2 linked regions of the Lytechinus pictus genome follow. The protein of the gene in region 2 binds, or shares a complex with, the protein of the main gene of each other region. Links are inferred from orthologs where the notes say so. Each region holds a gene or a part of one and is shown on either strand. Other genes may lie near its edges.

Region 1 (17,456 bases), about 6.2 Mb from region 2:
CCTGCATAAATAGGTTTGTGAAGAAGAGAAGTTGAATGTTGAAGACCGTGATCCTTCTTCATATCATAAATAGGTGTTGTGAAGAAGAGAAGTTGAATGTTGAAGACCGTGAACCTCCTTCATATCATAAATAGGTGTTGTGAAGAAGAGAAGTTGAATGTTGATGACGGTGAACCTCCAGCATAAATAGGTGTTGTGAAGAAGAGAAGTTGAATGTTGAAGACCGTGAACCTCCTTCGTATCATAAACAGGTGTTGTGAAAAAGTTGAATGTTGAAGACAGTGATCCTCCTTCAGAAGTACATGTAGGTATTGTGAAAAAGAGGTGGATTACATATGTGTTGAAGTTAGAAAAGTGAAGATTGCATTCACATAGTGGGGTATAAGGAACATATTCGTGTGCTTTGAGGTGATTATCTTTTCCACAAAGGTTTAACTAGGTGTCAGTGATCCTATTGGTTGTCGACAATGGCAAATTTTCAAGATCGCGTTCAGTTGATATGAGTCGCTTGATGGTGTGCCCATTAGAAGCCTTTAGGAGGGCTATGACCTTGCCATCGGATGTCCATGCTTGTTTCACAGCTTGGTGTGAGGAACTAGCTTTCAGCAACTTCAACCTGGCCTTAGTTAGATCTTCCGATACACTGATACCAGTTCTCTTGAGTTTTCTTCGATTTGAGATCATCTTTGAGCGAGGTTTGTAACTCGTGAATTTTACCAGGATCGGGCGGGGATTGTGTTTCCCCGATTTCCCAGTAGCAGAGGGTGCACCGATATCATCACTTCGAGGCTTGCCTGTCCGGTGTGATCTATCAATGTCTGATAGTGAGAGTGACAGATTCATTTTCTCTGCAACCTGTAGGACCAATTGGTCAGTATTTTCATTCTTGGTCTCTTGGATACCAAAAATTCGTAAATTGTTTCTTCGGCTATATTGTTCTAAATCGTCACTGCGGCTCTCAAGTTTTTTACTCCTTTCTCCTTCTCTCTCAAGCTTCTCCCGTAGAGAAGTATAGTCACTCTCTCTCTGACGGAGTTTATGTTCAAGTTCTAATATTCTACCTTTATTTTCCTCATTCTCTTCAATGAGAGCTTTTAATCTCTCCTCAACAACCGACTCAATCATTTCATGGATAGCTGATGTAAATCTTGAATTATCCAATAGTTGTGTAACAGTGTCACTTTTCGGCATATTTTATGGAGATGGAGAATTGATGTTGATTAAGACAAGAGATCAGAAGAAAAATAGTTACCATCCAGCAGTGTAATTTGCAAGTCGAATCAATTCACAATAGTCACACCTAAAGTTTAATCCAGTACACACTCTCGCACTGCCACTGGCACTGGGTACGGTTGAACCACAGAAATACCGGTTAAGGCGGTATAACAAAAAAATGAATGTGTGGGACTGTAATTTATTCCCCAAGTTATCCAATTCACGAAGTGTCAAAAAATCTCACCAGTTTCAATTATTATCCACCTTAAAAATATCAGTTAAACAGAATATACCTCCAGGATTCGAATCGATCTGTCCAGTTAAGATGATTCTTTCATGACTAGTAATGCAAAAGGGTAAATCTGAAGAGAAAATTGAGGAAGTGTTGACGTAAATATACGGTAGCCGAATATGAAAATTTAGCAAGTTTATAATAGACTTTCATACGAAATTATGCTATATACCATCCATCTTTTTTTCCCGCTCGTTATCTTCAATCCTCAGCAGCCCGGTAATAATATCTTGTCCCTTTTTTTATTTTCCAATTTAGATTTTGCCTCATTCCATTCTACCTTAATTTCCCGCTTTTGTTTGCCTTTTTGTCATCTTTAATTCATTTCCCTGTCTTACTAATCATGCTAATGTATGTGTATATCTGGGAAAATTGTTCTTCCTCACATGTTCTTCTTTCCTTCCTTTTTCCAAATTCTTTCCGTTTTCCCTTTTTTTTCTTAGTTTTATTTTCCCTTACCCTTTTCTATTCCCCTCCCTTTTCCCCCTTTCATCTTTTTTCCTTTCCTTTTCCTTTCCCTTTCTTTCTTTCTCCCCTTATTTTTTTCCTTTTCCCGTTTTTTCTCTTAACATTTTCACGGTGAACTCCGCCAGGGGGAAGGGGGGCAGCTTGCCCCCCCGCCTGTTACGCCACTGGTTGCATGCACCTTTTGGGGGCTAAAATTAACAAAAGTAAAGGAATACGGGCTTTTTCAAGCATGGGGAACCACGGTCCTGACTTTTCCCCCCATCCCTTAGTGCTGCCGATGGGTAGAGTAAAAAACAACAAGGAAAGAGAGAAGACAAAATAGAAGAGAGAGAAGCGAAAGGGAGAGATAGGAAAGAAAAGGAGGGGGAAAGGGAGAGAAAGAGAAGGGAGAACGGAGGGGTCATATCATTGTATGAACAGGATATTTTATGATTATGCCCCGAGCATTAGTGCGAAGCTCAATGCGAGATAAGAACAAAACAGAGGGGGCACACCATGGTGCACGCAGCAAAAATTTGCTTAATAATAAGTCTCCAGCGAGCGAAGCGAGCAAGAATAAAAATCACCTTCAATTTTGAGATTGATTTTGACATGGTATGCAGAAAATGACATATATTTCCTCTTCCTTTTCTTTCTTTCCTTTTATCATTTTTTTTTCTCGGTTGTAGAACTTTTTTTTTTTTTTTTTTTTTTTTTTTTGGGGGGGGGGGGGCAGTGCTATGCGGTTCGGGTCCGGGGCAATGACGGTACTAGGGTTTTTAACCTAGGAGGAGGCAAACAAACATTTTGGGGCCGGGGGGATGGCACACATTTTAAAAAAAAGCGCGAGCTAATTTTATTGCAAATACAGTCCCTACTGATTTAAAAAGGGAACTGTTAAGAATCAGCTGTTTGCATTAATTGGGTCATGAAGATGATATCTCACCAAATGAATAATGCGAGCGCGAAGCGTGAGCTGAAAATTTTTGATATCCGGGATGATACCTGGCCGTTCTAAGCTTTTTTTTAAATTATAAAATGAATGGCTATCTAAATCGCTGAAAATAAATCCTCTATGGAAATTATGAATACGCAGGATATGTATCTCGCTAAAACAAATAATGAAAACTCTAATAACATTTGATTTTTAAGCCCCATGTGAACAGATAATCATTAATAACTGCGAGCGCGTATCGCGAGCTACATTTTGAATTTTATATAATGGCCTGAAAGATTTATGTTAGTGACCAAAATTGTTGGGATCTAAATGCTAACGGTGAATGGATGAGAATATTTTTAAAATTTAAAGAACAAAAAACATTTTTGGAGTATTATGACAACGTTTACTATACATTTTGTTTCTTCAAATTTCGGGGGGGGGGGGGGCAACTCACTGGGGCCTCCCCATTCGGTGGCGCCACTGGTCTGGGGCGGAGCCCCCAGAACCTCGTGATATTTTTAAACATTGCAGATGGCCATTTTTTTTAAATCAAATCGCGGATACATACATCACATATTATATTAAGTTGCTAATTAATTGAATTGAAGGCTACACGTGCAAAAGAAAATGTCTCATGAGAATTATTCGAAGATTAGAGGAGCTTTATACTCATATTTTATATTTTGACAATACGTTTTCTATCGATATACGCCCCCATCTTTTCTCCAAGAGATGACGATCTACAACAGAAGGCTGAAGATATTAATTCGACCCAACCCATTCTCATTTTTTTAATTTGTAAGTTGATTACAAAAAAGAATATGTATAATGATTAGACTGATTCTAGAAACAGAGAATGGGCAACCATTGAACATATTTTGTGCAAATAAAAGAAAAATACAGGTGTCACTCAGCTTTCGGAGCTATTTTATTGGCGGAGGATTTAGGACTGAGTATAATATATGAATAAGATCTGCTCATGAGATGCTTTAACCAGTTGCCCCCTAAATGTGCATGCGCCGGGTCAAGCTAGTGTTTATCTGGTTGCCCGAGTCGAGTTCTCCAAGTTAGGGTACGTGGTTACCCTGGCTAGGCCGTCGGGATATCCCTGGGGGCCCCTTGAAAAAATACTTTTAATTTTAAAAATGCGATAAATATCCCTTTATTCCCTTTACTTTTGTTAATTTGAGCCCCCTAAATGTGCATGCACCTGGTCAAGCTAGTGTTTACCTGGTTGCCCGAGTCGAGTTCTACAAGTTAGGATACGTGGTTACCCTGGCTAGGCCGTCGGGATATCCCTGGGGGCCCCTTGAAAAATTACTTTATTTTAATTTAAAAAAATGCGATAAATAGCCCTTTATTCCCTTTAATTTTGTTAATTTGAGCCCCCTAAATGTACATGCGCCGGGTCAAGTCAGTGTTTATCTGGTTGCCCGAGTCGAGTTCTACAAGTTAGGGTACGTGGTTACCCTGGCTAGGCCGTCGGGATATCACTGGGGGCCCCTTGAAAAATACTTTATTTTAATTTTTAAAATGCGATAAATAGCCCTTTATTCCCTTTAATTTTGTTAATTTGAGCCCCCTAAATGTACATGCGCCGGGTCAAGTCAGTGTTTATCTGGTTGCCCGAGTCGAGTTCTACAAGTTAGGGTACGTGGTTACCCAGGCTAGGCCGTCGGGATATCCCTGGGTGCCCCTTGAAAAATACTTATTTTAATTTTAAAAATGCGATAAATAGCCCTTTATTCCCTTTAATTTTGTTAATTTGAGCCCCCTAAATGTGCATGCGCCGGGTCAATTAAGTCAGTGTTTATCTATTGCCCGAGTCGAGTTCTACAAGTTAGGGTACGTGGTTACCCTGGCTAGGCCGTCGGGATATCCCTGCATGGGGGCCTCTTGAAAAATTACTTTATTACACACACACCGCAAAAAATAGCCGGTGCCCCCCCCCCCCCTGAAAAAGCAAGGACCCCCAGTCCCCCCCCCCGGGAAAAAATCCTAGCTACGCCACTGTCTGCGAAGGTCCGAAAACGCTGGAAAAAGCCATGTTAAAGTGAATTTTTGTTGCACGTGGTCTTATCATGCATGCACTGCACTGCGTGCACGTGTGTTGGCTGTTGGCTGTGCGAAAGACGAAATCAGAGAGCAGGAAGTGGAAAGCGAACTACCCGATTTCGTTTTCGCTGTCTGCGTTTTTCCAAACAGAATCAGGGGGTAGAAAGCGTGTTCTGATTTTGTTTTTAATATATAACAAACACAGGTATAGAATGAGGTATCAGAGAGGACCAAAAGTATTTCTGATTTCATTCTTCTGTTTTTGATCTCCAAAAATGAAATCACAACGGGGTTTTTCTCGTTGTGATTTCGTTTTTGTGTTTTCAAAGACCAATCCATGAGGTTGACTTCCGTTTTTGCTCTACGAAAATCAGGAATGAAAAACGAATTATCCATTAGTACCCTGATTCGCATGTCTATCTAGATACTCAACTTGTTAGTATTTCAACCATTATCCAGTTTCTGAAATACAAAATTCTGCTAGCGCTTTGTGCTCGCATTTTTTATGTAGGAAGAACCCCTATTACTCATCCTTATTATACAAAACAGGAATAGAGTGTCCCATTTTTTAGGTCTAAAATTTAAATGTCGATTTTTTTTCCGCTCGCGCTTCGCGCTCGCATTAATTGTTTTATAACGACGATCCTGTTCATGGTCACAATAATTGATTAAAATTTTCCATTCTTTATGTAGAAGTGTAAAAAAAAAATCGGCTTGCGCTTGCATTATTTTATTGTTGAAATATGTAACGTCTCCATGGCTAAGTGAAATAAGCAGTCCTTAACAGGTACCTTTTTGATCAGTTCAAAACGTATACAAAAATCTTATGCTCGCTAATTTGCGCGAGCATTATTAAAGTAACAAAGATCGGCAATTTAACATCCTTTCCATGATGATTTAAAAGACATGACTAGACATGTCTCGTTTTTAGGTCTAAATCTTCCAATTTTGTGCTCGCGCTTCGCATCAATTGCTAAGTTATATACCTATCCTGTTTAAGTTACAAAAAGTGCCTATGATTTCAATTCTGTTCGCACTTCGCGTTCTTAGTAATTATTTAGTTGCATACACGTCTTTTTCATGATAAACATTGCCCAGAAATTTCAAACTTTGGGGAAAAACATATTTTTTTTTTATAAATTAGCTCGCACTATATAAAAAGGGTTATGATATTATATATTTATGTTGATTTATAAGACAAAAGCTAAGAAGTGACATTTCTTCAAAGAAACAAATATAAATCATATTCGCGCGGCCGATTGGGGAAAAATAATGGTGAAAAAAAATTTGCCCCCCCCCCCCCCTTTGGCGAAAGCTGGATCCACCCCTTCATCCTATTTATTTCTCTCCTTCCGTCCATTTCTCCATTCTTCCAGGAGCCGCGGAATAGTTTTGAAAAATGTTTTTTCAAAACTTTTTTTTGGTATTTCTACCAATAAATTAATGAAAATAATGCGGTACAAAAATCAATGTCATTCTTCTTCCTGTTTTAAACTATATACGTGTACAAAAAACGCACCACTAGCTAAAAAAAACAAAAAAAAACTTGGGGGTCACAACCCGAGCACCCCACTTCCCAGGGCCATATACAAGGATTCTAATTTATTAATTTTAACGAAAGCATGAGACATCATTTGTTGAAAAAAAATTAAAGAGAGCTATTAATGACTGCATGTGGTCCTACCGGTAAGCTAGATCTGCGCACAAAACTGCTTTCATATGACACGCAAAAGGGATAAATCTTAGTGGAAAAGTGGGATAAAGCAAACAGGATTTAGAAACTGCCTTCGTTGGCGTTCAATAATATGGGTGGTATGATACAAATTCTGCTAGCTTATTCGTACTATTATTTCTGGCCATTGTACTTAGATGTATATTTTAATGTGGAAACATTTTTAATTTTTTTTTATGATACAAATCGAGCGAGGCAAGTACAATGATATGGGGCAGAGTTCCAAGTCTTCATGCCCCAGACTGAATATATTTTGACATCAACTTACTCCAAAAACAAGTGTTATGTTTTATTTTGTATTATTCATTTTTTAAGTATAAGGTAAAATTATAAGTCTCGGAGTGTCAGTTAATGCTGCAAAAGATGTATAAGGCCTACTCTTTTGCAGCACTATCCAGCTACCGCGGCGAGGACGCCCTCCGAGAAGGTAGCCATATCAAAACTAAAAACAAAAAATTCCACTTAGATTACTGGTGGATCCAAGGGGCATAATTATCGAGAGCCAAATTTGTAATTTGTAACATAAACATGCCCTTTTTACCCAAGCATGCCCCTTGAAAGTGAGGATATATATAGGCCCAATTTTTTTGCTTGTCAATTTTTAGGGACGAAATTTTGAATTTTTTTTAAAAACATTTTGTAATGCTTATCAAATTTGCATCGGGAAAATGTGCCTCCATAGGCCCTGTCCCCCTTAATTTGAGGTGGGGACCATTGGCAACGTAAAGCAAAAATTTAGGGGGGGGGGGGGGACCACCAAAATTTTGTGAAAAGCCCCCCCCAAAAAAAAAAAAAGTTTATCAACCCAAATTTTAGGGGAGACCACATGAAATTTTTAGGGGGGTCCACTGGAATTTAGGGGGCAGGCAGGAAAAAAAAATTACAAGCAAATAAACAAAAGGTTATCAACAAAAAAAATTAGGGGGGGGCGATTGTCCCCCCACCTCAAATTTAGGGGGGACACGACCCCCCCCCCCCCCCCCCCCCGCTGCCTATGGGGGACGTTGTTGGGTTTTTTTTGGCTAATTTTTTTTTTTCGGTCCCCCCCCCCTTTTTTTGTCAAAAATGTTGGTGCCCCCCCCCCTTAATTTTTTGACTGCCGCCGCTAATAGTGCCCCCTCTCCTTTGGAAAATCCTGGACCCTCCCTTGCCTAGATATAGATGTTTAAAGAATTAATTATTTTGAAAGTCAGAGTGCCCCTGCCCCCCCCATGCTTTAGTTATCATGGCATAAAACTTATGTCATATCTAATCCTTAAATCAGCAAGAGGTCAGAGCATACAGTATCCGTCACCAAACGACTGCATTTGAGCCATTTATTTTCTCTTTTCTCTTCTTTCTATTTTTGGTTGTTATTTAATCATTGTTTATTTGGATAAGCTCGGATCCGAGACTAACTGGGACGGTGAACGCACTTTCGTTCGAGTTGTGTATTTGGGTAACAATACGCCGAGGCGAGAAAGGACACGCCCACAATCCCTCGTTCAGTGCCGAGCTCTGAGAATACGTGTCGACGAAATTTCAAAATGAAATTTGTACACAAATCTGTCACAATTCGGACCCACTTTAGCCTCAGATTAACAGATAATTAGATCTCTTTGTAACACTAAAAGTCATTCACTTGGGGTTTTTTAATATGCTGATTCAGGTGAGGTACTTTTCAATGCTTTTAAACATAGATTAAAAAAATTAGATTTTCGTTTTGGGATCCCTACGAAAGGTGTTGAATCAAATCTAAGTAGGACCTATCAACAGTGCAGTGATAACGGCATTGCCATTGACTTTGAAGTTGAACTTGTGTCTTTTTGTGATGCACATGTTTACTATAATTTCATTCATAGGTTAATAATAGCTTGCGATCATGGCTGGATGGTGTCATGTAATAAGCAAAGCGTACATTGAATGCTATATGCAATACATCAATGTGAAAAACAGAATGATGCTTATTTGTCAAATCTAGGATCAAAATGTTTTTCACACCATGTATTTTAATCTTTACAGTTCAAGAGTGGTATAGCAACTAGCTTCATAACAAGAGCATCAGCTGTGAAGAGACTCCAGTTAAATCTTGTCAATTTCAGGTGAGAGTCAAGTAATTTGACTTTTTTATGTCACTTAAATTTGATTTTTTTTTTTTTTTTACTTAAAAAATAGCCAAGATAATATGTAACTAAAAAAAATGTTTTAATCTGAATAAAGTAAATGATGATGTTTGATCCATCTTGGATAGCCACATTTGAAACTGGAATATCTGCAAATCCAGAACTGAAAAAAAAATCAAATAAACAAACATGAGGGCTATCAGCCATTGCCCCCCCCCCCAAATATGATTGTTAAGAATATCACTTGGAAGTAACAAGAGAACCAAACACATTGTTAGGTACATATACAGTGAATACAATACATGAAAGAAGAAAGGCCCCTGTAAAGAAAGTCTTTTTTAAGCTGACTAATCAGGCAAAATTTCATTTTGAAGACTGAAATGTTGCGTCAGCCAGGGCATACCTCTTTTGAAAATTATCATAGGACTAATTCATTGTTGGTGGAGGAGGGGGGGGGGGCTCCTTTGACATTAACATAATTTGACCAGTCTACATCCTTGTATAATTAAAGGTCAAGTCCACCCCAGAAAATGTTGATTTGAATTAATAGAGAAAAATCAAACAAACAACGCTGAAAATTTCATCAAAATCGGATGTGAAATAAAAAAGTAATAAAAAAGTTATTGCATTTTGAAGTTTCGCTTATTTTTCACAAAACAGATATGCACAATGCACGATGATGTCTATTACTCACCATTTCTTTTGTTTTTTATTGTTTGAATTATACAATATTTAATTTTTTACATATTTGACAAATAGGACCACCTTGACTGAACCATATATTATTAGACAATGCTCATTCCACATGTTCAGGGAGGAATTGTTGTTTCCCTTGACAATGAAGAGAAAATTAGAATATTTCATGGAATGAAATACAAAAGAAATAGTGAGTGGATGATGTCATCAGTCTCCTCATTTGCATACCGACCAGGTCGTGCATATAACTGTTTTGTGAAATTAAGCGAAACTTTAAAATGTCATAACTTTATTATTGTACATGTACATCCGATTTTGATGATATTTTCAGTGTTATGCTTGTTGGATTTTTCTCTTTTTATTCAAATCAACTTTTTGTTGGGGTAGACTTGTCCTTTAGGGAATGGTTAATGAATATTTCCATTGAATATTTTTTTTTGTTATTTTTTCTTTTGCTATATATCTTTATCTTTCTGTCTTTCTTTACAGGAGGCTGTGTATTCTGAAAGGGGTGTATCCGGTTGAACCAAAGAGTATCAAGAAGGCCGGAAAGGGGCAGAAACTTCACAGAACCTATTTCAGATTCAAAGACATCCAATTTTTGGCTCATGAACCCATCGTTCAAAAGTTCAGGGATCATAGGGTATGTATGCTTTTCAAAGAATGTATTGATTGATATTCACAGAATGATGATTTTCAATCTTATTTTTAAGGGGAAAAAAGGGTGATATTATTTCTGATAATTTTATCACAATTTTGCCCCAAACACCTTGTTCTGCCTCCTGAAAATAATCCTGAACAGAAAATTCAAGCATGTCCCTTATCCTGTACCTTCAGAGAAGTTCAAACATGAATTGTTCAGGAGCTAATTTCACGTCACGACTGCTTGTGTTTTTGATGCTACACCCGTGTAGTATTTAAGGCCTGATGAAAAACATTTGTTTTTTCGTTCTTTGGGTATTTTATTTTATCTTTGCCTGTCAAGTTCAGAGAGGATAAAAAATCAAGATGTGAAAGATGTATAATACAAATTTATCACAAAATAGTATGAGTGTCAGCATGAAAAGAATGTGGAAAGAGATTGTTAAATTGGTATTGGTGTCTAGGTGAACGAATGCTTGTATTTGAAGACAAAAAAGGGCCTGTTTAGTGTTGAAGGTCCAATTTCAGAGAAAACTGTTTAAAAGTGATTAGGAAATACTGATTATAATGTCCCAAAATATTAATGAGTGGGACATTGTATGATTTTGAAATCATTGAAATATGTATCGATTAACTATTTTTGCTGATTCACATGACCCACACTTAGTAATGGCTGGATGGGACTACACACAAATGTTCTGCCCAAACATATTTTGAATATCAGGACATCTGCAGGACTTGACATTTTTACCATCATAATCTTCCTTAATGAAGTGAAAATAACCCGAAAGTTCACATTGAATATATAGATTTTCCTTTCAAATTAATATATTGGGGAGTTCTTTTATTTTATCTTCTTTTTATTGTGATAACTCTTAGTTTATTTACCATATGATGTGCACTGTTTGTCTGACCCTTGATGTATATGTACAAGTATTCATTAGAATCCAGATTTTAATCTTAATCTTTCAATTTTTTTTTCTTTTACTCTTTTCTTTCTGGGTTTTCAGGTTTTTGTAAGGAAAGTGAGGAAAGCTAAGGCCAAGCGAGAATGGACATCATTGGACAGACTTAATCGCAATGAACCCAAGTATAAGCTCGATCACATTGTTAAAGAGAGGTATTCAATTCATTTCAATTTTTCATTTTTGACAGAACAAAGTAAAGTGGTCGAAAATAATTACAATGACATTTGCAAATGAAATTTATACAAACAATATAGATTGAAGATGTGAATATGAACTAAAATCTTGGGGTTTAATCTATTTTATGTTAATGGCCTAATGAAAAATAATCATTAAAGATACGAATGATAGTATTGGATGACTTTTCCTCATACAAATATTCAACTTTTGAGGGCCAATACTTCACTCTTGTATGATTCATTCAGTATTATTTACGTTGTTGAATATTATTAGTGTCCCATTCTGAACCATCAGCTATCCCAAAGAGTTTAAATGTTGTATTTTAAGGAAGTTTGGACTGGAATCATTGGATTAGAATATTTTTCTTGATCTTTGTGTTTGACAGATACCCAACGTTTGTTGATGCTCTCCGTGACCTTGAAGACCCTTTGACCTTGTGCTCATTGTTCAGTACATTTCGTAAGAATGCCAAAGTGAAGAGCGAAGTTCTCCCCCTCTGCAGACGACTTGTCGTAGAGTTCATGAACTATGTCATCGCATCAAGGTCACTCAAAAAGGTGAGATTCATGAATAAAGTCTCTGACAAAAACAATTAGAGTTTTTGTGGATCAGTAGAAATCTCTAGAAATTGATTTACCAGTATTAATCTGTATTTGCCTCACATGACCCAGGTGTAGTAAGTGGGTATCTAGTAGGATTCATGCACTTAGTGCTGACAGAAAACCAATTTGGGTATGACATGTGGCATAGAAACAGGTTACCAGTCAAATGTAAAAGTCAAGTATGAACTTACCTGTTAACTTATATTAAGCCAATAGGTATAATCGCTAACTTGAATAGATGGCAAGTATAAAATTTGCAAAATCTGTTATATCTTGATGTGTTGTTCATTCCATGTAGGTTTTCCTGTCCATCAAAGGGATCTACTTCCAGGTGGAGATTGAGGGACAGCTATTAACATGGCTCATTCCGTATAACTTTGGATATTCGGTTGGTATTTCTTCTTGCTATGGTGTTTTGTACAGTGAAACCTGTGTTCAAAGATCCTTTAGGCAAATATTGTTATGAAATGTGAGAGGGTCTGCCATAGGCTTCAGGGCAGGAGGCAGGGGCGCAACCCCCTTATTCTTTTCAAGTGAAAAGGAGAGGACAGGGATTGCGGGGAAAGTATAATAGAGTACCAAAGTATGACGTCATCAATTTTTACTTTTTGCATTTCAGCGCTTTTCATACCATAATTTAGTAGAGCATGATGAAAAACCCCCACAACACAAATTTGGTGAGAATTGGTTCATGGGGCCCCAAGTTATGACCTCACGAATACATAATTAACCCCATTGAATTCAATGTATTATTGGCCTGGTTCTAAAAGTTAGGAACCAGGCGAATAATGCATTGGCTTCAATGGGGCTAATTACCGGTAAGTATTCATGAGGTCATATCTCAGGCCCCCATGGACGGATTCTCATTAATTTTGGTGGTGGGGGATTTTCATCATGCGCTACCTAAATATGGTATCAAAAACGCTCAAATGCAAAAAAAAAGTTTTTTGTGACGTCATCACTTCGGTACTCTATAAAGGATGAGAAAGAAAAAGAGTATTGAGAAGATAATGCCGAATTGTGAAACTTCGGAATACCTTTCTAAGTGTTTTCATTATTATAGTCACATTTTGGACACCTTGCCTCTACTGTCAAAATACCAAGTTGCCACCGTTTCTAACAAGCACACAAAATGGGGTTTATATCTCTGTTGCCCCAAATGTGTTTTTGGAGCCCCATATTTGTATTTCTGTGTGTAGTGCTTACTCTCAACGTGATAAGAATATTGTTATCATCCTCTTTTTCCCAAATCTGATAGCAGATGCTCACACTGAAAATATCTCTTTGATGTTTAAATCTCGGAACCAAATTTGGTCAACAAATTTATTGTAAAGTTCCAAAGAAATATTTCATTTCTAATTTCATTATCTCAGGTACTGTTATATAAAGTTTGAAAATGTCATGGCAGCAATAGAAAGGGTACAGATGTCACTAATTAGCAACGTTAAACTGATTAAATAATTTTTTTTTTAATGGGACATTGCATCACTGCTACATGTATGTTTAGTTATGATCTCTTCCTGCCTTAGGCACCAAAGATTCAGGTGCTAGATATTTAGATGTGATAAACTCTGATTCTGTTTTTAGTCAAAAGTCTTTTGTAACAATGTTTTTATTTTCGCTGTTTCATCCTTGATTCTTTGTTACAGGTGCCCGGTGATGTTGATTTGAAGATCATGTCTACATTCACAGAGTTCTACACCACTCTCTTAGGTTTTGTCAACTTCAAACTCTTCACAAGTCTTAACCTTCACTATCCTCCCAAGGTAAGATGGAAGTGGGTTCAGCAAGGCCATGCATGACCTATGGCCCTTGTGCATTGTCGCCATCTTAGAGGCACAAGCCATTGCCTTCCCAGCATCGGCGATCTGCAGCTGGTGCATCTCTGACAACTCCGTTTACATGTATTTCTATATCCTCTGAGGGAGGGCGCTATGAGGTTATGGACAACATTTGCTAAATGTCTATTGATAAGCATCAATGCTCGTCTGATTAGCCTTTGATATGTTTTGTTTCCCTTTTAAAGTTTTCTTGTATGTGCTGTTTTATAGATTAAAGGATTTAATATACTCAAATTTACAATCGGCAGGGAAATTTTCCACATGGATTAAATTCTGACTAAAAGTCGCAAATGCCAATGCACACATGATCACAACATCGATGTAGTTGAGATTTTGTAGTTTGTACTGTGTGAAACACATACATGCAAGTTTTTGAATTCCTTGGCTGAATGCAAATTTGTTTGTAAGAATCACTGACAACACATTCATTTTAACCTTTGAGTTGAAATTCCTGTTGCTGGAAAGGTGAATGCAATCATTGTGAGTTTTAATATTCTTTTCATATCATTTAGGAAGAATATTATTGTAAAATGACCCCCTGCAATGGATGTTTTTCAGATGCCCAAACTTTAACAATGTAACACTAAGAAAGCTGTTATGTTTGGGCCAAACATTTTTATGTATACTATTCCCATACATGTATATCTGTTTGCATTGCCTATGAGTGAATACAGTAACTGAGTTGATGTGTAGAATATTGGTCTTCTCAAAATCTTGCAACATACTCTAATTCTTATGTTATATGATTACCATAGCTCCCAATCGCTTTCTACATTCAATCTATCGACAAGAGCCTCAATTAAACTTTGAAAGAAAATTATCCATTTGGCAGTGTATGAAAATGCTATTTCATATCTATTCCCCCACAGTTGTCAACAGTAGTACAGAGCACTAAATCAGAAGCCGACCAGGTGGAAGATGACGATACGGTAGATGACCTTATAGGTTCCTTTGTACATGACCTTGTAAAGGTCAACCAGGGGTCAAGTATCGATGATGAGGAAGATGAAGCTAACCAACAGGATCAAGACCAGGAAGAAGCTCTTATTGCTGGTGGGGTGAGTTCAAATGAATATGAAGTGATACTATCAAAGATGATAATATGTGACCAGCAACCCCAGGACCAAGAATAAGTTGCCAGGAAGGTTCTCTGTAAATAGCAAAAATAGTAATTCAAAAGAAAAAAAATTAAAAGGCCAATAGGACAGAGTAATTCTTCTTCTTCATACTGTTGACATTACGTAAAGTTGAATACAAACATGCTAAAAGAGTTTCTTTGACAAAAGTTTTCCGAACTGCTTTGAAGTTTCACCGAGATTGCAGACTTTGCACATCTCATGTTTGAGTGAACCCAAAACTTCAAATGTTATTTTAACCTCTCGGTTAGTTACTTCTGCATTCAATTAAGAACAGGTGTGGGTTATTTTGGATTAATTTCAACAATTTGGATATCATTGTAAAGCTTAGGATGTGCTCTTTCAAACTCTATATAAAACTCCAAATTTATTTTTGGTGACTTATTGTTGGTTTTGGGGTGGCTGGTCAACATGAAAAGAACATTCACATATACATCAGCATTTGCTGATAGGGTATTCCATCCCACGAGTGGTAAATAAATAAGTAATAATTTTTTTTAAAGGGCCAGGAGGAGGTAGTGGTCTGGAGGATGGGGAAGATGATGGTGTTGGTGGTGATGACAGTTACGATAATGTTGTGGTGATGGTGGAGATCTTGAAGGTGATGGAGAATGATAGTGCTGATGATGGTGATCAAGCCTTGAAATAAGCAGCTGCAGACCAGGGGCAATTTTCAAAAAAAATTGCCCCCGGCTCACAGGCTTTTTACAGGAATCGGGGGCAATTTTCTGTAACCGGGGGAAATTAAAAAAATATATATAACGGTGAACCACACCGCAAATTTGTTTATAGTAAGCGCAGCTCCTGCAATTTTTTAATTAGTATTAGGCTTATACAAACATTTAAGAAATCAGATTTAAATGTTTAAGTGTGTTTTGACACCCTCACTCCACATCCCCTTTACAACCACACACACATGGGCTTATTTATTTTTTATCTTTAATGAACCACGAACAATGAACCCCCCCCAAAAAAATCTAAATAAATGAATAAAATAAAAATATAAAAAAAGAGAGAGAGATGGAGAAAGAGAGAATTCAGATCAAATAATAACTTTAGAAAAAAATAAATAAGTTTTAAGGTTATTTTCATGATTAGAATCATGGGTGTGGGTGAGTGTTTGTGTGTGATTGTGAATGTGAGGTGCACTTGGATTGCATATAAATTATGTTAAAGAAATGAAATCAATATCTAACTCAGTCTATTCAAATTCCAGCACATAGCCACAGGCTATGTACATGTATTGTACATGTAGGTTCATGTACCTTAAGTTTTTCACTAGTTATTTGAAAATGCAGATCTCCACAGAAAATGCCTTTCATTCTGGGAGAGTCTAAATTCGGTGAAAATGTATTCATTAATTACTTAAATATTCATCACAATGAAGAAATCATAAAGTATTTTGACAGTTTTCAAAAATTAACATGAAATCTAAACTCTATCTGAAACGGAAAATCCCCATCACTTAGGCCATTACTGATAGAATTCTCACCCAGAGCTCTGGCAGAGAACATGAGCTCAAACTGGCTAGCTAACGCCACACTCAAGTGCACGGCGTCCCCCTATTTTTTTTTTTGTAGATGGAGCCTTGTTTGATGATTTATTGTCTGATATTTACCCCTCTCCAAGAAAGAAATTAAAAAGCTACAATTCACAACTATAAGCTAAGTGATTTTGGATTATTAAGGCTCCGTTTTGACAAGCAAAGTCGGCGACTGAGGATAAAAGACTCGCACATCGTATGTGCTGTGAACAGGGATTTATCTCCTGTGCAATTCGAATTACTATATCGCAGAATTGTGATATCCCAACTGGAAATGTGTGCATTAGAAATTGCACATGGTGAAGTATGGAAAAACCGCTACCGGAAGCAGGCGCGCACATGTATTACAGAGAAAAAAAGACGGACGTAGCTCACTTTTTATGGTACAGAAAAAAAGACGCACTTGGCAATTTGAAACTGTGCTTATCGTAAATTGAAAGTTACTTGATTTTGGCTTTTCAGATATTTAAATTACATGTATGATATGGCTTCACTGCTCACTCACGGCGGGCGCAATTACCTGGAAAATATTTGCGCCCGGTCGTCAAAATTTGGATGATTTTGGGGCTTTATGGGCGCAATTGATGGCTTTATGAGCGCGAATTTGCGCTCAGCGCCCGCTTATTTCAAAGCTTGATGGTGATATTGGTGATGATGATGGTGGTGGTGATGGTGGTGATGGTTATGATGTCATTGGTGGCAATGATTGCTGTGGCAATAATGATATTAAGGATGATTATGATTATGAAGTCTTCATGTGTTTTTGGAACAAGAGAAATAGGCTACCACATTAATAATGTGTTCATGTAAATTTCAAAGGGCAGATTTTTACTGCTATTTATTTTGTAAAAGTGTTTGACAGCTTTTGTGTCAAAGCCAAAATACAAAGTTTTGTTTAAGTAAAGAGAAATACATTATATGCATCTGTAGCATTTTGTGATGTTATTGTGGAAGGATTACCAATTTCTTTCTTCTTGACTCCACTCTTTAGACTGTGGATGAGGAGACTGTGAAGAAAGCAAGAGAAGAAAGAGATGAGATGAAGAGATTCAAGAAGTTATTTGAAGG
Region 2 (16,425 bases):
AATCTAATTTTACATATTGCCCATTAAACTCAGTCAATATCAAGGTAGGAAATATATTAAAACAAGTATGAACAGCACAAACTTAACTTAAACAATATTTAGGAGAAAACGGTTCATTTTTATGATGCTCATACCTGAGACAAACCATTGTCCTGAGGGGTCCGTACTGATGGACCTGACATAGCTCTTATGACCTTCATATACAACAGCTTGAGTGGTTGGGAAAGGTTGAAGATCCTTTGGTCTTGGAAGCTGAGGAAGTAGCTCTTCTGGCTCAACTTGAACCTACAAAAGAAAAATTACAGAGTGAATTTCTTTAACAGTCATCCTGTTATCACAAGATCAAACTTTCTGATAAACAATGACTCTTTAGACCTTTGTGACCTGTGATATTATTCTTATTATCATCATTGACCTACAAGTAAGGTTTGAAATTGTTCAATCCAATGGTTGCCTTACATGAAAACAACGACAACAATAAAATACTTATTACTTTTCATTCCCTTTTCTGGATTGACCAGTGAGCAACTCCATATAGTATGTACATCTGGGGGTGTTTTATTAACATTTTTCATCTGATAATAAGCTGTCAGATCTGACAACTCTCCTTGAATTTGATTGGCTGAGAAGCAATGTTACTATGGCAACCTTCGGATAAAACAGGACTTGTGAGATAAAACGTCCACAAATCCTTTCATGAAACGCTCCAAAGATACATGTGGTGGGATCCTCTTGAAATGATATTTGTTTCCTTTTCAAGTTCATGTGAAAGGGTGTAATGTTCTCAAATGACAATGGCTCGGCAATTCATGTGGTGAAGTCAGAATGGAAAAATGGGGTCAGACGTATAATATTATTTGGGGAATTGCCGAAGGAATAACTTATTTTGGACACAAACAGGTTGGAAAGCATCATAAACGTTTCAGCTTGACATGATATGATTCTGAAAACCTTAAAAAACGTATAAAGAAATGGAAACACAGAATTGATAGATTTCTTCACTGACATCCTAAATCATCATTTTTTCTTCTGATTTGATATGCTCATTCTATAAATTGTATTTGTTTTTTTAAGGTAATGTGGAAGTAACCTTTAACTTTGATCACAATAACATCACTGCAAAGCAATTGCATTTCAGCAAAAGTATGAAAGTAGAGATAAGATGTCCATCTTTTTTAAATAAGGGTAATAACCCCTTTCACTGGGAATAACCCCTTTCACGCTCCTTGTAGCTTTTTGGTTTTTCCCATATTTCTCTTAGAAGTTTTATGATTTCAAATTCATATACCTGTTCACTATGAATTCAATTATTAACTTTTTTATTCTTTGAATGTATATATTTTGTATTGTTTTTTATCATGAGAAATAATATCGATCAATCAATCAAAAAGACCAGTGCTATATTTTTCCTCACCCTCATTCTCCTCTGCCTAGGACATAGATACAGATCTAAGCATCTCTCAAACCGATCCTGAATGAAGCGGGGATAGTAAGGCACCTTCCGAAGACAGTCGTATTTCTTTGGAACGAAGTCAATCTTTCTTTCATCAGCATCTTGTTCATTCCAAGCAAGGATCTGTACAAGAAAAAAAAAAAAAAAAAAAAAAAATCGAAAGTCTGAAAATTACCCCCCCACCCCTTTCCTTTCCAAAGGGTACTTTATATATTGAATATGTAAAGTGTACATCAAAATTTCTAATTAGCAACCAAATGTTATCATATGGGTAGCCACAACACCTCTGAAGATAATTCAGCAGTCTTGGGTTTCACAATACACAGGAAAAAGACAATTCTTATATTTTCAAAAATGTATTCTTTTTACTGTTATTTACAAGTCATTAGATTACCATTAAAAACACCATTTGAAACACCAGTACAAAGGGTCCTATAAATTTTTCAATTATTTATTATCAATATCATTTTTAGTAGTAGTATTATAATAAACAAATAAGATCTTAACAAACTTACCTCTTCTTCAGTTGGAAGATATTCTGGAAGCGGATTATAAGATTCTTCATGACCCGGGAGTTTCATCTTCGGAGCAGCGATGTGAGCATGATGACGCTTGGTGATCTTGGTCTCGTCATCTTTACCCCACATATCGTAAAACTTTGGTCCTCTCTTTTCTTCTTCCTCTTTCTTCTTTCTTTCAGCTTCTAGCTCACTGGGTAGTTTCATCCAACCCATTTTTATTGCATGAACCAACTTGCTAACCTATGGATAATAGGAAATAAGGATGAAGTTTATTCATCACTCAACAGTAAAGAGTCTAATATATCCATCATTAAATGCTCGATTTTGAATGATGTCATCAATCATATTTATTGATATCCCAATAAAGAGCGACATCAACATTTGTCTTGTACACAGTCATGACAATGACGGTGAAATTGTAATAAATTTTATCTCCGGAGGATGTGATTTTCTACAAATCAAAAGAGAATGGTAATTGCTTCACATACCTCAGACAATTTGAAATATTTTTTTGTATTATACATTTTACTACCAATGCACAATCATTCATTTAGAGATAATCAACCACAACTAACTACAAAAAAAAATAAAAAATTTCAAATCACTAGATACTGGTATTGGAAAGGGGGACATTACATATTAAAATGAAGATGGACACTTTTTAATGATAGTTTCAACAGACTAAAAGGCATTATATTCCAAATGCAGCTTCATAACAAGTTTGGTGTTCATTGCATGGTTGGTTTACCATGCTAATTCACCGGGACCTTATTGCACTTAAGTTTCTATTATAGTAACTTTGCCATCCCATGGTAACAATACTTTACAGCCAATCAAGGTCAATGATCTCGTGAAAGTCACCATTGGATGGCAATGTTGCTACAAAGTTAGTAACTAACGTGCAATGCGCCAGACTTCGCCAACACATACTGAAATACCAAAAGGCGTAATCACAAATGCATCACATGAGGGAAAATGTTAATACATTGATTAGTTTAAAATTCATCACATTAAATCAGAATAAGCAGGAAACAGTTTTACCTTGTCTTTCTCAGTGAGTGAAGGAATAAAGCTTCGTTTATGAGCCGGTCTCCGGGTGACTGGATGGATCATCTTCTCGTAAGTGAAATGATCGATGTAAGGTTCATACGGGTCAAAGGTCGTCTCGGGATAGAAGCCTCGTTGGATTCGTTGAATGGTCAATAACTGTTCTTCACTGAGCACCACATCTTTACCAAGCTTCTTATCAAAGACAGTCTTCCTATAAACGATTACAAAACGGATACCAACATATACAGTTGAGGCCAAAAGTTTACAAACACCCATGGAATTCAGTGAAATTTGTTCGCTTGCCAAACATCATAAAATTTACTAAATCTTCAGAAATATAAATACTACCATGACAAATTTGGTATCAAGTGAAAGATCGTATTAAGCTTTTTCACATGATTAAGATTCCGTTGGGATATAACTATATTTCAGATGGAAAATCTTTGAAGAATAAAAAAGTAATATTTGTGACAAATGTATTCTATTGTTTGTTGTTTTTATCTTTAATTTGTCTAAAATATGAAGATTTTTGGGGAAAAAATGACACCTAAATATTTTTCATCTCCTAATGACAAAGCAATGTGATGAAGAGCATGAAATAATCATTTGTTTGATATCAAATTTGTCATGATAGCACAAATATTTTATAAGATACAGTAAATTTTATGTTTGGCAAGTTTCAACTTTTCTTTGAATTTCCTGGGTGTATGTAAACTTCTGGCCTCAACTGTACCTTGTCTCTATCAAAGACAGTAATCCAATGAACCCCCAAACACGATCAATTTATCAACAATCTTATCAAGCTTTTAATCAAAGACAGTCCTCCTTTTAACCCCAAAAACAGAATCAGTTACCGACATCTTTACCAAGCTGTCTATCAAGACAAGCCTCCTATAATCACCCTCTTCCTCAAAAATGCAATCTTTTAAAATGTTTTACTCAGCATTTCTTTCTCTATGTACAAATACAGTATGCTATCTATATTACATTTGGAATACCATCCTGAAGATTTAAGTGCTTATATGAGCAAACTACAAATTCACGATAATTAAGTTTATGACATATGGGAGAGTTGTCCATACCACTTGTCACAATTTACTCATCAAATTGCCAATTTGAAATATACATAGTCTCAGCGATCTAATTTTTCAAATAGCAATAACTGTTGTTTTTTTTTCTGGCCAAACTTTAACCTTTCTCATCATACCTTTCATATGACTCAATGAATCACAAAAAATTGATATTTTCCTTTAAAAATACACCTCATACGTCTTACATAATAAATAATCTACAATAAGTGGTGGTTTACAAGTCTTGTTTATGAGAGGATGAGAATGAATTCTAACCAATAATCGGGGTTATCCATCTTGTTGAGGAATTCATCTAGTTTATCTCTTCCTTCTGGTTTGACTATCCGTTGACCTTTGACATCGTATCCAAGATGCTTGTAACCTTCATACCACTCCATGGGGATATTCCCTACTGTGTTCCTTATGTCCTGTATGATCAAAGAGAAATTCAGGCGTAACAGCACATGGAGATAAAATGGCCATTTTATAAATATTCCTACACAACTTCTACACAAAGGCAGCAAGAGAAAAATATTATATAAATATGTAATCAAGAGTGCCTGGTGAACACTGTGAAGACAAATAATTAATAAATGAAACAGTCATGGTTTACATTATTAAAGTCCAAAGTAGATTTGATGAAACTCAGACTCTTTCATTTTATTTTCACATTGTGAATTCAACTTCTACCATAGTATGTACCTCCTTTAGATCTTTTTAAATATGAAGATTCCGAATTGAGAACAAAACAAGGAGTTCAACTCCATTCTAATTCAAATTTATTTATATCCTGATGACATTTTCAGTATTTATCTTTCCTATTACACCACTACCCATACCATCCAAGCATATGATTTTACCCCCAGCCCCCCCCCCCCCCAATGAAAACACCAAAGGGAATATTCTTAATTCATTAACTGCCAGAACCAGGTGGTCCCTGTGCAAAGTCTGTAGGAATTTCAAAATTTAGTAGTCAACAAATTAATTCAATTTCACTGGATATTGGATGGAAATTACATGTTGAGAAAACAAACCTCTTCATCTGATGAATCAAAGTCATATTCATTGCTCTGAGGTGGTTGGTTGTCCAAGGGTTCTTTGGGGGATTCCCCTGCAACAGCTGATCTCAAGGAATTGTCAGTGACATCATCGTTGTTCTTGGCTACCTTCTTTCTATTAAGCTCTTGCCTTTTGCCTTTCTTCAGCTGCTTCCCTTTATTCAGGAGTGTCTGTGACAGTTAGAAAAGAGAAGTAATTTGTATGTCATTGGTTTTATATGTAAGTATATTCAGTGACCAAACTGAGGGTTTGCATTAAGCAGTAAACATCTTTTATATGAAATGGTATGAAATCTACTATTTAACCATACAAAGAGCAGAAACTAACTTTATCAACTGAACAGTCTCTTTAGATATGCTTAGAAATCTTTAAGACCAACAATTAGTTAATTTACAAAGTGATTTTCATAGTGGAAAGCACTGAATACAAATTATCTCCCTCAATACAGGTATATGTATTTTCTTTGGAATACCTGCCAGAGCCAAGCACAAAAGAAATATATCAGTAATTACTCTGATAAAATATATATATTTTTTAAATCTATTTCATATATTGTGAAATGTCTTCACATCCTTCAAATATATGTCATCTGCAAGTGTCCTTGTCTCAAATATGCAAATAATCTGTTGATTTTTCAATTTATTTTTTGGTCACCGATACATGTTATTATTCCATCAGGATTCCAAGAAATGCAACTTCCTGACAAAACACAAAAGAGTTTGTATCCACATGGTCTACTAGAAGATCTAATTACCATTTGGTATAATGATCACTTGGTCTAATACTCCCTTGATCTTTTCTTTGGTCTCATGCCCAGATGGTCTAATTTTGACTTTGTCTACTTCCTATTATCTTACACTTTGTCAAAACAAAAATTGGGTTCATAAACATTTTAATCATATAGATTAAGTGGTGTTAGACCAAGTGGATAGTAGACAAAAAGGGTATGGAGCTGAGCTGGAAATTAGACAAAATGGTAAATCGGCTTTAAAGACAATCAGATTAAATGGTTAGCAGACAATAGACAAACAGGGTGCTGTTTCATAAAGCTATTCGTAATTCAAGAGCGACTTTAAGAACGACTGGTAATCCTTTCTTACGCGCTAATTCATCGCAATGAATAAACCATTTACCATAAGAAAGGATCACCAGTCGCTCTTAACTTACGAACAGCTTTATGAAACATCCACCAGGTTGAAGATGTACTAGGGTTGATCCCTGTGGGATGAGACCAAACAGAAAATCAACAAAGAGGTTGAAGACTGTGGCAATATACACTGTATTACAAAAACCATGATTACCTTAGGTTCATCTTTAGTTTCTTCATCATCGGCATCTTCACTCGTATCATCCTCTTCTGACATCTCAGAAAAGGATTCATCATCCTCATCACTGGGATTGAAGTCTGCAGAGGAAAAAATTACAAAACAATCAATCGTTTGAGTAGTGATTGTCAATTGGTGAATGAATGACTAGCTGTAATGTTAAGAAAAAAAATCATCAGGGTGGGGGGATCAATATTTCTTTTGCAGGGGCTCTTTACCCAATCCTGCTCATTTCCAACTATATTTTGTATTGGAACAAATAAAAATTTGTGATTATCTTTCACTTTATCGGGGGAGGGGGGGTGGGTGGAAGGGGAATTTTTTACATGGGGGGTACCTTTATTCCCCATGCATTTTATGTGGGTGGGGCTGCTTCTTCGCTTTAATTGCACTTGCTATCCAGGCATGCGAAGCTTTATCTGGTGAAAATAATTGCAGAATATTGAAGGATGAGGAAAGGTATTCAAATGCATTTCACCTGATATGGGAAGTGGGAACGATAAATGTGCAGGGAATAATTTTCCTGGTATATATTGGAAATTTTTCCAAGACTGACTGCACAAGAAAAAGGTATTTGTGTAGGGGGCATTTACATGATTTGAAAAGGAAATATTATTCCATGAAGTGGTACAAGGAAACTAACCTTCATCCTCTCCATCACTATCGTTGAAATTTGGAAAGGGGTCATATTCTCCTTCTTCACTATCTGTAAGACTCTCTTGAGATAAATCGGAATCAGTGCTGTCATCATCCTCTTCCTCATCTGCAGGAGCATCTACGAACAAGTTGAACTTTAACAACAGAAAATAAAAACAGAAAGAATAATATTAAATTTAGGTGCAGGTGCGCAAACATTTACTTGGATTGCGTGGATGTAGAGACTAGAGGCATAAAGCTTTTCTGCCTCTTGTTACCTTGGACTGTCTACTTTCACTTCACTTTTTATTTCACTTTTTATTCGAGATTTTGCCCATGTCGCCGGATGATTAAGTAGTGAGTTAGTGAATGTGTAGTGTACATGTCTAGAGTGTGTTGGTGATTTCAGTGAAATATTGCTGAGTCTGCTGAACGGCCGCACACCAACCCCCGGTCACGCACAGATGCAGTTACTCTCGATCTAATTATGAATATTAAAAATCTGTAGAAAATTAAGTATAACTATAATGAACAATGACTAACATTAGGTATCTAGACCATTATTTAATATGTCGAAATCATTGCAATGATTGCACAAAAAGCTTTTAAAAGATTAAATGAAAAGCATGTCCTACAATACATTCCCCATAATTTATAAGCTATGAGTATGACTATGTATTACAACTGTGTCATGCCCAAAACAAAGAGAATAATAAGATTACGCAATCGTCTTTTGTCCACAAAGTTTTGTATCAAGATATGACAATCTAGTTCTGGGTGTCGGAACAAACAGTTTTATGAATCATAGATATTGAGCCTATTGTCAGTAGAGGCGCACGGCCAATATGGGAGACTCTCTCCAATAGGGGAGATAATCTCCCACATTGGAGACTTGCATTGCAAAAGGACAAAAGAAACAACACCAACAAAAGCATGATTTTTTCCACCCAAAATTTTGTCTCACTGAGGTCAGAAGCCCATTTGTTTTGTGTGTGATTGACAACAAAAATCCTTATCAAAACAAAAGTAGACGGTGAATATTTAAAGTAGACGGTGAAAAGGGGTAATTTTTCATGAGGAATCTGCTTATCACATTTTTATTTGCCGCCAAGGTAATCCTTTTGCAGCAAATGTAAACAAAGGAAATTGGACTCCAAAACTGGAGACTGTCTCTGAAATTGGATACCCAAATTCTTTACAAAAGTCTCTGATATTGGAGATAATCTCCCACATTGGAGACAGTCTCCAATATTGGCCGTGCGCCTCTACTGATTGTGAGCATATAATTAAAACATGCTCGAACAGCCTTTCCTAATTTTCACCTGAAGTGCCTAGCAAAGTAGGGCACAGTTGGTATACGGTAATAAACGTCAGACCTCTCACCACGGCATGCTCAAACTGACAGTCACACTGACTAGCCGACTGAATGAACATACCATACCATTACATGGCGGTTTAGTGTATGTGCGATTCGAACGAGATTTCCCGGAAACGTGATATCCCTATGTAATCTGTGTGCACAAGAATCGCGATAATCGGTAATGGGAATGGCCTCCTTAGTGGTCACCGTCAGTTTCTCATTCCAAATATCGTAACTCCGTTCATTCACGTTCTTTCTACATTTATACAAGTGTTCAAACACATTCCATTACTTTTGAAATTCAATTATTTCAACTAAATCCTACTAACCTTTTCTTCTAAGTCATCATTTGCCTTGCCACGTGCGGGCCTCTTTCTTGAAGTCGCAGCCGACATCGTGCATGCTCATTAGCAGATACCGTACCGTATAAAAAGGAAGAAGAAAAAAACAATACTGTCTGAAGTCTTTAGTCTTTTAGACTGTATTTTTTTTCAATTATTGAATTGAATTAATTGAATACATTTATTGTCCATAATTTTCACTGATTCACACACATGCAGATACAATGTATAAACACAGAACAAAACAGAAGATGATGAAAGCATGTCATCATGAGGAAATAATTCCAACTCAGGTATATAGTTCATATTATTCTGGAATAATCATGTTTGGTTACACATTTACTTTAGTTATCGACAAGATAAGTAATGGATCGAAGCTTATGCAAGTGCAATCGTAATTGTAATAGAGAGTAAAGGAAGTGCAAGAGTGGTGTGATATCAACTGATTCTAAGAAAATCTTAATAATAGTCAAAGTTAACTCGTGATTAATCAATTAAAAGAGTAGGGCAATACATAAATACGGGCGAGCGTTAAAGTGAAGAATACCATTGGGGACAAATGATTGTCTAATTTGTCTCAAACGGCAATTTGTCCCCAATGCTATTCATCAAAGCGTTAACGCTCAAGTCCGAAGGGATAGTTTTTTTCTCTCTCATTTGGCTTTAAAAAAATTATTGTTGGGGTTAAAGTAAAAAGAAAAAAAAAGAGATGAATACCATCATGAGGCTAACATGAGCGCAAAATAAAGTGGGAAAAAATCCAGAAGATTTTCTTGAAAACTGATGTAATTGTTTCATCCTGTATGCACATGTATTCAGGAGGGCGGGAGTTTGCCTAAAGGGGAGCACATTTTCCCAAGGAAAATTTGACAAGCCAAAAAAAAAAGGTCCTCGTATGAACAACATATTCCCATTATAATTTTTTTTTTGAAAGGGGGGGGGGGCGCACCGGGGGGACATCCTCGTAAAAGAATGTCATATTTACTGATTAAAAATTTGGAGTGTTGCCCTTGATCAAAGGGTTTTCATCAAAAATTGAAGGCCATTTTATCCAGGCACTTAAAATTTGACGAGCAAAAAAAAAAAAGGTCCTCACTTGTGTATATGAATAACAGAGGGGCCGCAGAAGCGGGGGGGGGGGGCCTTTATTAGCCCCCACTAAAAAAAAACCTTGTACAAAAACGTAAAAATTACCATATAGTTGTGATTTTGGGAATATAGTCAGTCCCCCACTTTTGGCTCACCCCCCCCCCACTTTGAAAACCATTCCGCGGCCCCTGCAACATATTCCCATTATAAAATTTGAATGATTTTGACAGGGGGGCACACTCGTGTAAGAACGCCATATTTACAATTGGATGATTGCTCTTGATCAAATGGGGGGGGGGGACGTACGGGTCGGATGTGCCCCCTGGATCCGCCACATGCTCATGTGATCGAATATGACTATATGCCCTGAGAAAATATTCCTTCCTGTCTGATGAATATATTAATCTAAACAAAAAACCCTATCACACTATAAATTGCACTAAGTAGACCAGGGGCAGATGGCATTTTTGTACAGAAAAAAATAAACGACCCCCCCAAAGGTGAAGGTCTACTCCCAATTATATGTCCGCCTCGACAAGCAAAAAAAAAGGTGCTCTTTTGCGTGTGCACGCATCGACTCCCTATAATATTTTTTTGGCTCACAAGGGGGGGGGGGGGTGGGGGGGGAGGGCAGGACCAGATGTGTCCATGGTTGCATGGATAAAATAATACTGACAATATTATGAAATATATTGGTAGCCAATAATACAGAAGAGGGCCGGCACGAGGCATTAATTGCCATTATATTATATTTAAAAAAGCTACATAAAAAGGGGAACTTTTCGCATGATCTGGTATTTTATGCTTGTGAATAAAAAGCAGCGGCGTACGCAAGGGGGGGGGGGGTGTTACAGGGGAAACCCTCCTTGATTTTTGAAATACCCAAAACCGCACCCCCTAATTTTTTTTTTTGAAGACCCTTTTTTTTGCTTGTCAATTATTTTTTGGGTAGGAAACGACCTAAAATTGGTGGTGGAGACCCTTTTTGTTGGTTATCAACATCGGGCATTTCATTCAGCTTGAAACCCCTCCCCCTTTACTCCTGCGGGGGGGGGGGGGGGGTTAAAGCCTCAACACACAAATGGAGCATATGGAACGGATTCGTGAAAATACTAGGTAGAATCTCTGAGAACAAACAAGAATAGTAATGACGTCCATTTGGGAAGGCCTATAAGGACCTTTATGCTGTAGGCCCGAGACTGGGGCTACTATAAAAATCCCAATTCCAGAAACGAAAGCAGCCGGAGCTGAAAATTCCAATTTCGGGGGACGTGTGTATGTGTGTGTATTTGAGTTTTGTCAGACGTGTATCAATCAGATATGATTATTTACGTCTGGGACCGACCTTTAACGTCACCATCCGAAAGACGTGACCATCAGGGCTCGAACCTCGAACCTCTGCATCAATTTGTATTCCCCACAGCTTGGATTACAGGCGCACGCCACAACGCCCAACGTGTACATAGTGCTCATGAGTCATGACCATATCACTTTTTGTGATGAAGGTCTTTTTCATTGTTTTTTTGTAGATGACCATTTGAAGAATATAGATCTTATCTTTATGCGATCGAGCAAATTTTGAAAACATGCACGACTGAATGGTGCCCCAAAACGTCTTTCAGGTTTGATTTGATTTGACTGTTTTCTGCATTCATAAAACTCGAATGGGCCAATAGACTCTACATGTACATTTGATATAGTGGGTGATTCCATACGTGTCGTACGGGACATTTAGAGAATATAAGACAGTTTTTTGACAAGAAAAAATAATTCCACTAACTAAAGGTGATCATCAAGTACTACCAGAGTGTTAGGAAAACCAAGACTTGAATTCACATCCTGTATAATACAGATTAAAAATAGTAATGTGTCGTATGGACGCAAAAAAAGTGGCTTTTTTAGAAACCTAAAGTTTGTACTCTAAAGTCTGTGAGTTGGACAGATAATTTTCATAAAAACTGAACTCAAATTGATATTCAATTACCCAAGAACAAACACATCTATGAAAGAAAGCAAAATAAATATTCATGAATAAATAAAGCAAATTATCATTTTCGAGAACATTGTGGCGTACGGGACACTCAAAATGTGTCGTACGGAACATTTCTAAATTGAAGCCAAACTTTCTTACTTTATGTCTCTTTGACTTCTTCAATCACTTTATTTGGCTAATTATAATGATAATCCTATCAAACTAAAGACATTCATTATGTTAGAAACCGCTATTGGCTGAATATTTCTGTCAATATCATAAACAAAATAATGTGTCATACGGGACACTTGTGTGTTGAACAGGCAAATGTACAATGGTTCACATCATTTTTACGAGCTGAAAAACTTGAGGTTTTGTCCCGGGTTTTGTGTGAAGTTATATTAATTGATGAATACACTATGAATGAAACTGTTTGTGTAAATTATGGGGCTAAAATGTTATGATTTTTCATATAAAATGTATACATACATGAAGTATGTCCCAACTCTCACTTGTCCACTTTATAATAATTTCACATTAGCATGCAAGTGAAGAGGAAGTCGTCTTCCAGGCTATAGGGTGAATCAATTATAAAGGTTTTCTTTTCATGCTCAATGACAAAGAAATTAACCTGCTCTGACCAGTGAAAATCACCAGTTTAGCTGAAGGGATTCACAAAAGAATACGCATATATGAAGTCAATTAAAATGGTTAGAATTACCTATTTCATGTTCTATGGAGATAAAAAAAGTACTTTTTCAGTTCACTTTATGTCAAATCAATTACTTAAATTAAAATAGGCCTACTTATAGTTTCTGAATCCAAATCCTGCAATTAAATGCAGTATATATTGTGTGTCGTACGGGACATGTCCCGTACGTACAACACACACTGTGTCGTACGGGACAACTTTTAATAGGACAATTATTGAAAAATGAAAGGCAGTAATTAGATCCTTATGGGATAAATCGATCACCCATGGGTCAAAGATTGAGAAACTGATATTTGGAAATTGCATCATCAAAAATAAAATTGTAGGAAAAACTTTTGTATTTTCATGTGTCGTACGGGACATTGCCAAAAATAGGTTCGAAAAAATCAGGGCTGCCCCTATTATGGATAATGAAAATGTTGTAGATATTATATGGAACCATCAATGATACATTATTCAATTGACCTGCAATATTTTCAATCTTCTCGTGGTTTGCCAATAATCGTTTCAGGCAGTGTTTGTACTTGACTATTTAATTAGCAAAATTATTGAAAATTCCATTGTTTCCTAAAAAAAACAACTATATCTGACTTCACTTTTGGTTAAAACTCATAATTTTCATAAAATTTAGGTATCATAGTAAAATATTACACTATTAATGACTTATTGAAAGCATGTTGAAATTTATGATATTTTTGAAGTTCTAGTGTGGAATCGCCCTAGTGATTATGATTACCGTAAGGGTACTAGTATTCAACCCGTTTGGAGAGTTTCTTCAAATATACAGAAATATGGAATTTACCTGAATTTCAGACCTGTCTTATTTCCAAGAGCAAATGCTGGTTATTCTTTTCCCGTTATTTTTTTCTTCAACCCGTCAACTGCGTGCGCGGGCGATCAAATTTTACGGCGATGGTTTTTGGTACTAGTATTCAATCCGTCGGTAGCTAGTATTCAACCTAGTGATGAAAGATGGCCCTGTCTCTCAATCTGCCCTTGTCCCATCCGACTATGGACTAGACCATTTGAGATGAGACCAAACAGGGAATTAATCAAAGCCAGAGACTTCCATAGATCTAGATCTAATTTAGCAATCTAAACCCTTTTGAAATTTGCTATCAATCCTCACTAGGTTGAATACTAGTGCCATTCAGTGCAAAAGGCCATCGCCGCATAATTCGATCCTCCGCGCATACAGTCGACAGATTGATAAAGAAAATACCGACAACAGATTACCCTGGAAATAACAAAGGTATGAAATCAAGATAAATTCCCTATTTCTAAATATTTGGGGGAATATGTCAAAATCTTTGAATTATGCCGGGTTGAATACTAGTGCCCATACGGTACTGGGTTTGGCATGAATCTTAGAAAAAAAAATATAGACTAAAATTATCATTTTTAAACAAATATTGTCTATGACCAAATTATCATAACATACACAATTTGCTAGCAGGACTGTCATCATAAGCAGTTTACTTGAAAAAAAAAGACAACCCTGTTCCGGGCCTGTTCCCTTGGCGCAAGCCATAATTTTTTTTTCGAAACAAAAATCTGGATGCCCGGCCCTCTACGTTTGTAAATTGAATAACCGTTAGCGAGTTTTCGGGAGTACGACGACGACATCCAAGAACGGTTTTTTTGAAGACGTAACATTGAAGATTTTTGGTAATATGATATGATATTTTTTAAACTTTGAGTAAAACACTTATTAAATGAACTACTGTCAAATTGGCGAGTTCGTTGTCTTGTCCGTTCTGATAATCGAACGACGTAGGGAGACTAGGCAGAGGCTGAGACTGTCAGTCACTACCGGTAGGCGGTACGGCTTCGCTCGCTTCGTGAGCTGACTCTCGCCGGGCCGGTCCACGGCTCCTGCGCTGCCGGCTGGCCGTTTCCTGGGCCTGGCCCTGGCTGCGTCGCATGTCGCTGCTGCATGCTGAACGATGATCCAATTAAATTGCAATTGTAATTGCACTTGTACTTTTTGTTCTCCTTTAATGCATAGAATTCGTCAAATCATCTGCATCCATAAAACACATCACTGTCTTATCGTCACGGCTCATCATGTTCATATTCGTAACTAATTTCGTAACCCAGGACAGGAGTCGGACTCGTCCGTGTACTACCGGTACTAGGTGACAGGTCTAGGCGGACATCACCCATGGCCCTGGGTACATTACCGCCGCCGTGCACAGGATAACCACTGGCACGGCACTTGCAGTAACATTGATGCCTTTTATTTTTATGTTAAAATTAGAAATAGAGTATCAACTATAAATCAAGTAAGCTTTGTAAAAATGTATATGAAACTTACCAAACGATATGAAGCCAATTTCAATTCCTCTCTGTCTTTCTGGTACTTTATATCGATGATTTTTCTTGATGTCGAAGCAGGCATGCTGCCAATTCGCTGGTTTTCTCTATACGCACAGAGAGGGCGCGCAATATTATTTAATAAACTTGCTTGTTTACGTCGTTTCCGTCAGATCAGCTGTACTGCTGGTTAACTTACTGCTGGTTGCGTTATAGGCACTCCGCATTTTTTTCGCTGTTCAGCGTTATTTTATGATGTAGCGCCATCAGCGATTATACGTGAGATGCCTGTTGATTTTTTTAGGTACAATTTCCTATTATGCGCCGGCGACTTGAATCTAGACTGTTCGATAGGAAAAATTCGCATTTCGATTGTTGTTTGCATAATTTCTACCGCAGTATTAAGGATCGGACGGAGTATCTTGGCTGAGATTTGGAGGTAAGCGTTTAAAATCCATTTTAATAAATACGTTCGATAAAAATTTTAAAATTCAATTAAATGATAATATTTAGATGAACAAATTTAGTATATTGTGAAGATTTAGGTGTGTTTCATATTCTCTCATTCGTGTGATGAATGAAAACGTCAAAATTCATTATGAAATGACATGCGTTGTGCGAGGTTAGTACAACTAACCTCGCATGTTTGTGTGAGTGGGCGGACATATGCTTTCCCAAATTGTAGAATGGGGTCACAATAGCACTCCAAATAAAAGGGAAAAAATAAATTATGCACTTACCTCGATTTATATGGAAGAAGCCAGAAGGTCTATCATGAGACACAGTCACAGAATCCTGACATCGAGGCACAAACTGGACCCTCAAAAAAAGGAAAAGTTAGACCTCTGTTGCGTTCGTTCTCGGTATCGATCGGCCATTTTGTTTCAACTTGAAAGATTGAGAACGAAGGAGACAGAATTATTCCTTTTTTTGAGGGTCCAGTTTGTGCCTTGGCCCTTGATGCATGTCATGATTCTGTGTCACGATAGACCTTCATTCATATAATTGAGGTAAGTGCATAATTCATTTTTCCCCTTTTATTTGGGGTGCTATTGCAACCCCATTCTAGTTTCTACCCCATTTTGGAGAGTACCCTCTGCCTAATATTACACGGATGAGTCCTGGGCTCCTACATGCTTCGCGGGCTGGAGCTCCCTGGGTTATGAATCGGGTAAATCGTTCACATACAAACAAACAAAGCAAAGAGATGGTATCCAAATGCTTGAGAGGTCTAATGTTAAGACTAACGTAAGGTGAGGAATCCCACTTTGGAGTTTGGTGCAGTGGTGCCCAAGAAGAAGCACAACCATTAACAATTACCGCCATATCCTGAAATAAGTCACCTCTCTTGTGTTTGTCGGAGAGTCAATGGGAGAGGAAAGAAGTCACCGCCGCTGACGAAATAAACGGCAGTGAATGGAGTGGTGACTTAAACCAGGATAATGCCACAATTACCTGCTGGGAACGATTTGCTATAAGAAACTTTGCACCCTGTAAAGTATGAAAATTTATTATAACTTT

What was found.
Region 1: ribosome biogenesis protein bop1-B-like (region 2) and pescadillo-like share a complex: the UniProt entries of both Homo sapiens proteins name them as parts of the peBoW complex. The link is inferred for Lytechinus pictus from reciprocal best matches to the Homo sapiens genes BOP1 and PES1.

What each region holds. Positions count from the first base shown.
Region 1 is NC_087246.1:20,637,901-20,655,356, forward strand, and holds the start of pescadillo-like, read left to right. Parts: upstream 1-8,317; coding exon 8,318-8,329; intron 8,330-8,682; coding exon 8,683-8,762; intron 8,763-9,968; coding exon 9,969-10,122; intron 10,123-11,131; coding exon 11,132-11,241; intron 11,242-11,651; coding exon 11,652-11,823; intron 11,824-12,166; coding exon 12,167-12,256; intron 12,257-13,517; coding exon 13,518-13,634; intron 13,635-14,578; coding exon 14,579-14,767; intron 14,768-17,379; coding exon 17,380-17,456. UniProt on the Homo sapiens protein: Component of the PeBoW complex, which is required for maturation of 28S and 5.8S ribosomal RNAs and formation of the 60S ribosome.
Region 2 is NC_087246.1:26,844,891-26,861,315, forward strand, and holds the start of ribosome biogenesis protein bop1-B-like, read right to left. Parts: upstream 9,130-16,425; 5' UTR 8,870-9,129; coding exon 8,804-8,869; intron 7,270-8,803; coding exon 7,122-7,269; intron 6,559-7,121; coding exon 6,455-6,558; intron 5,324-6,454; coding exon 5,129-5,323; intron 4,523-5,128; coding exon 4,371-4,522; intron 3,236-4,370; coding exon 3,016-3,235; intron 2,215-3,015; coding exon 1,969-2,214; intron 1,577-1,968; coding exon 1,415-1,576; intron 286-1,414; coding exon 135-285; intron 1-134. UniProt on the Homo sapiens protein: Component of the PeBoW complex, which is required for maturation of 28S and 5.8S ribosomal RNAs and formation of the 60S ribosome.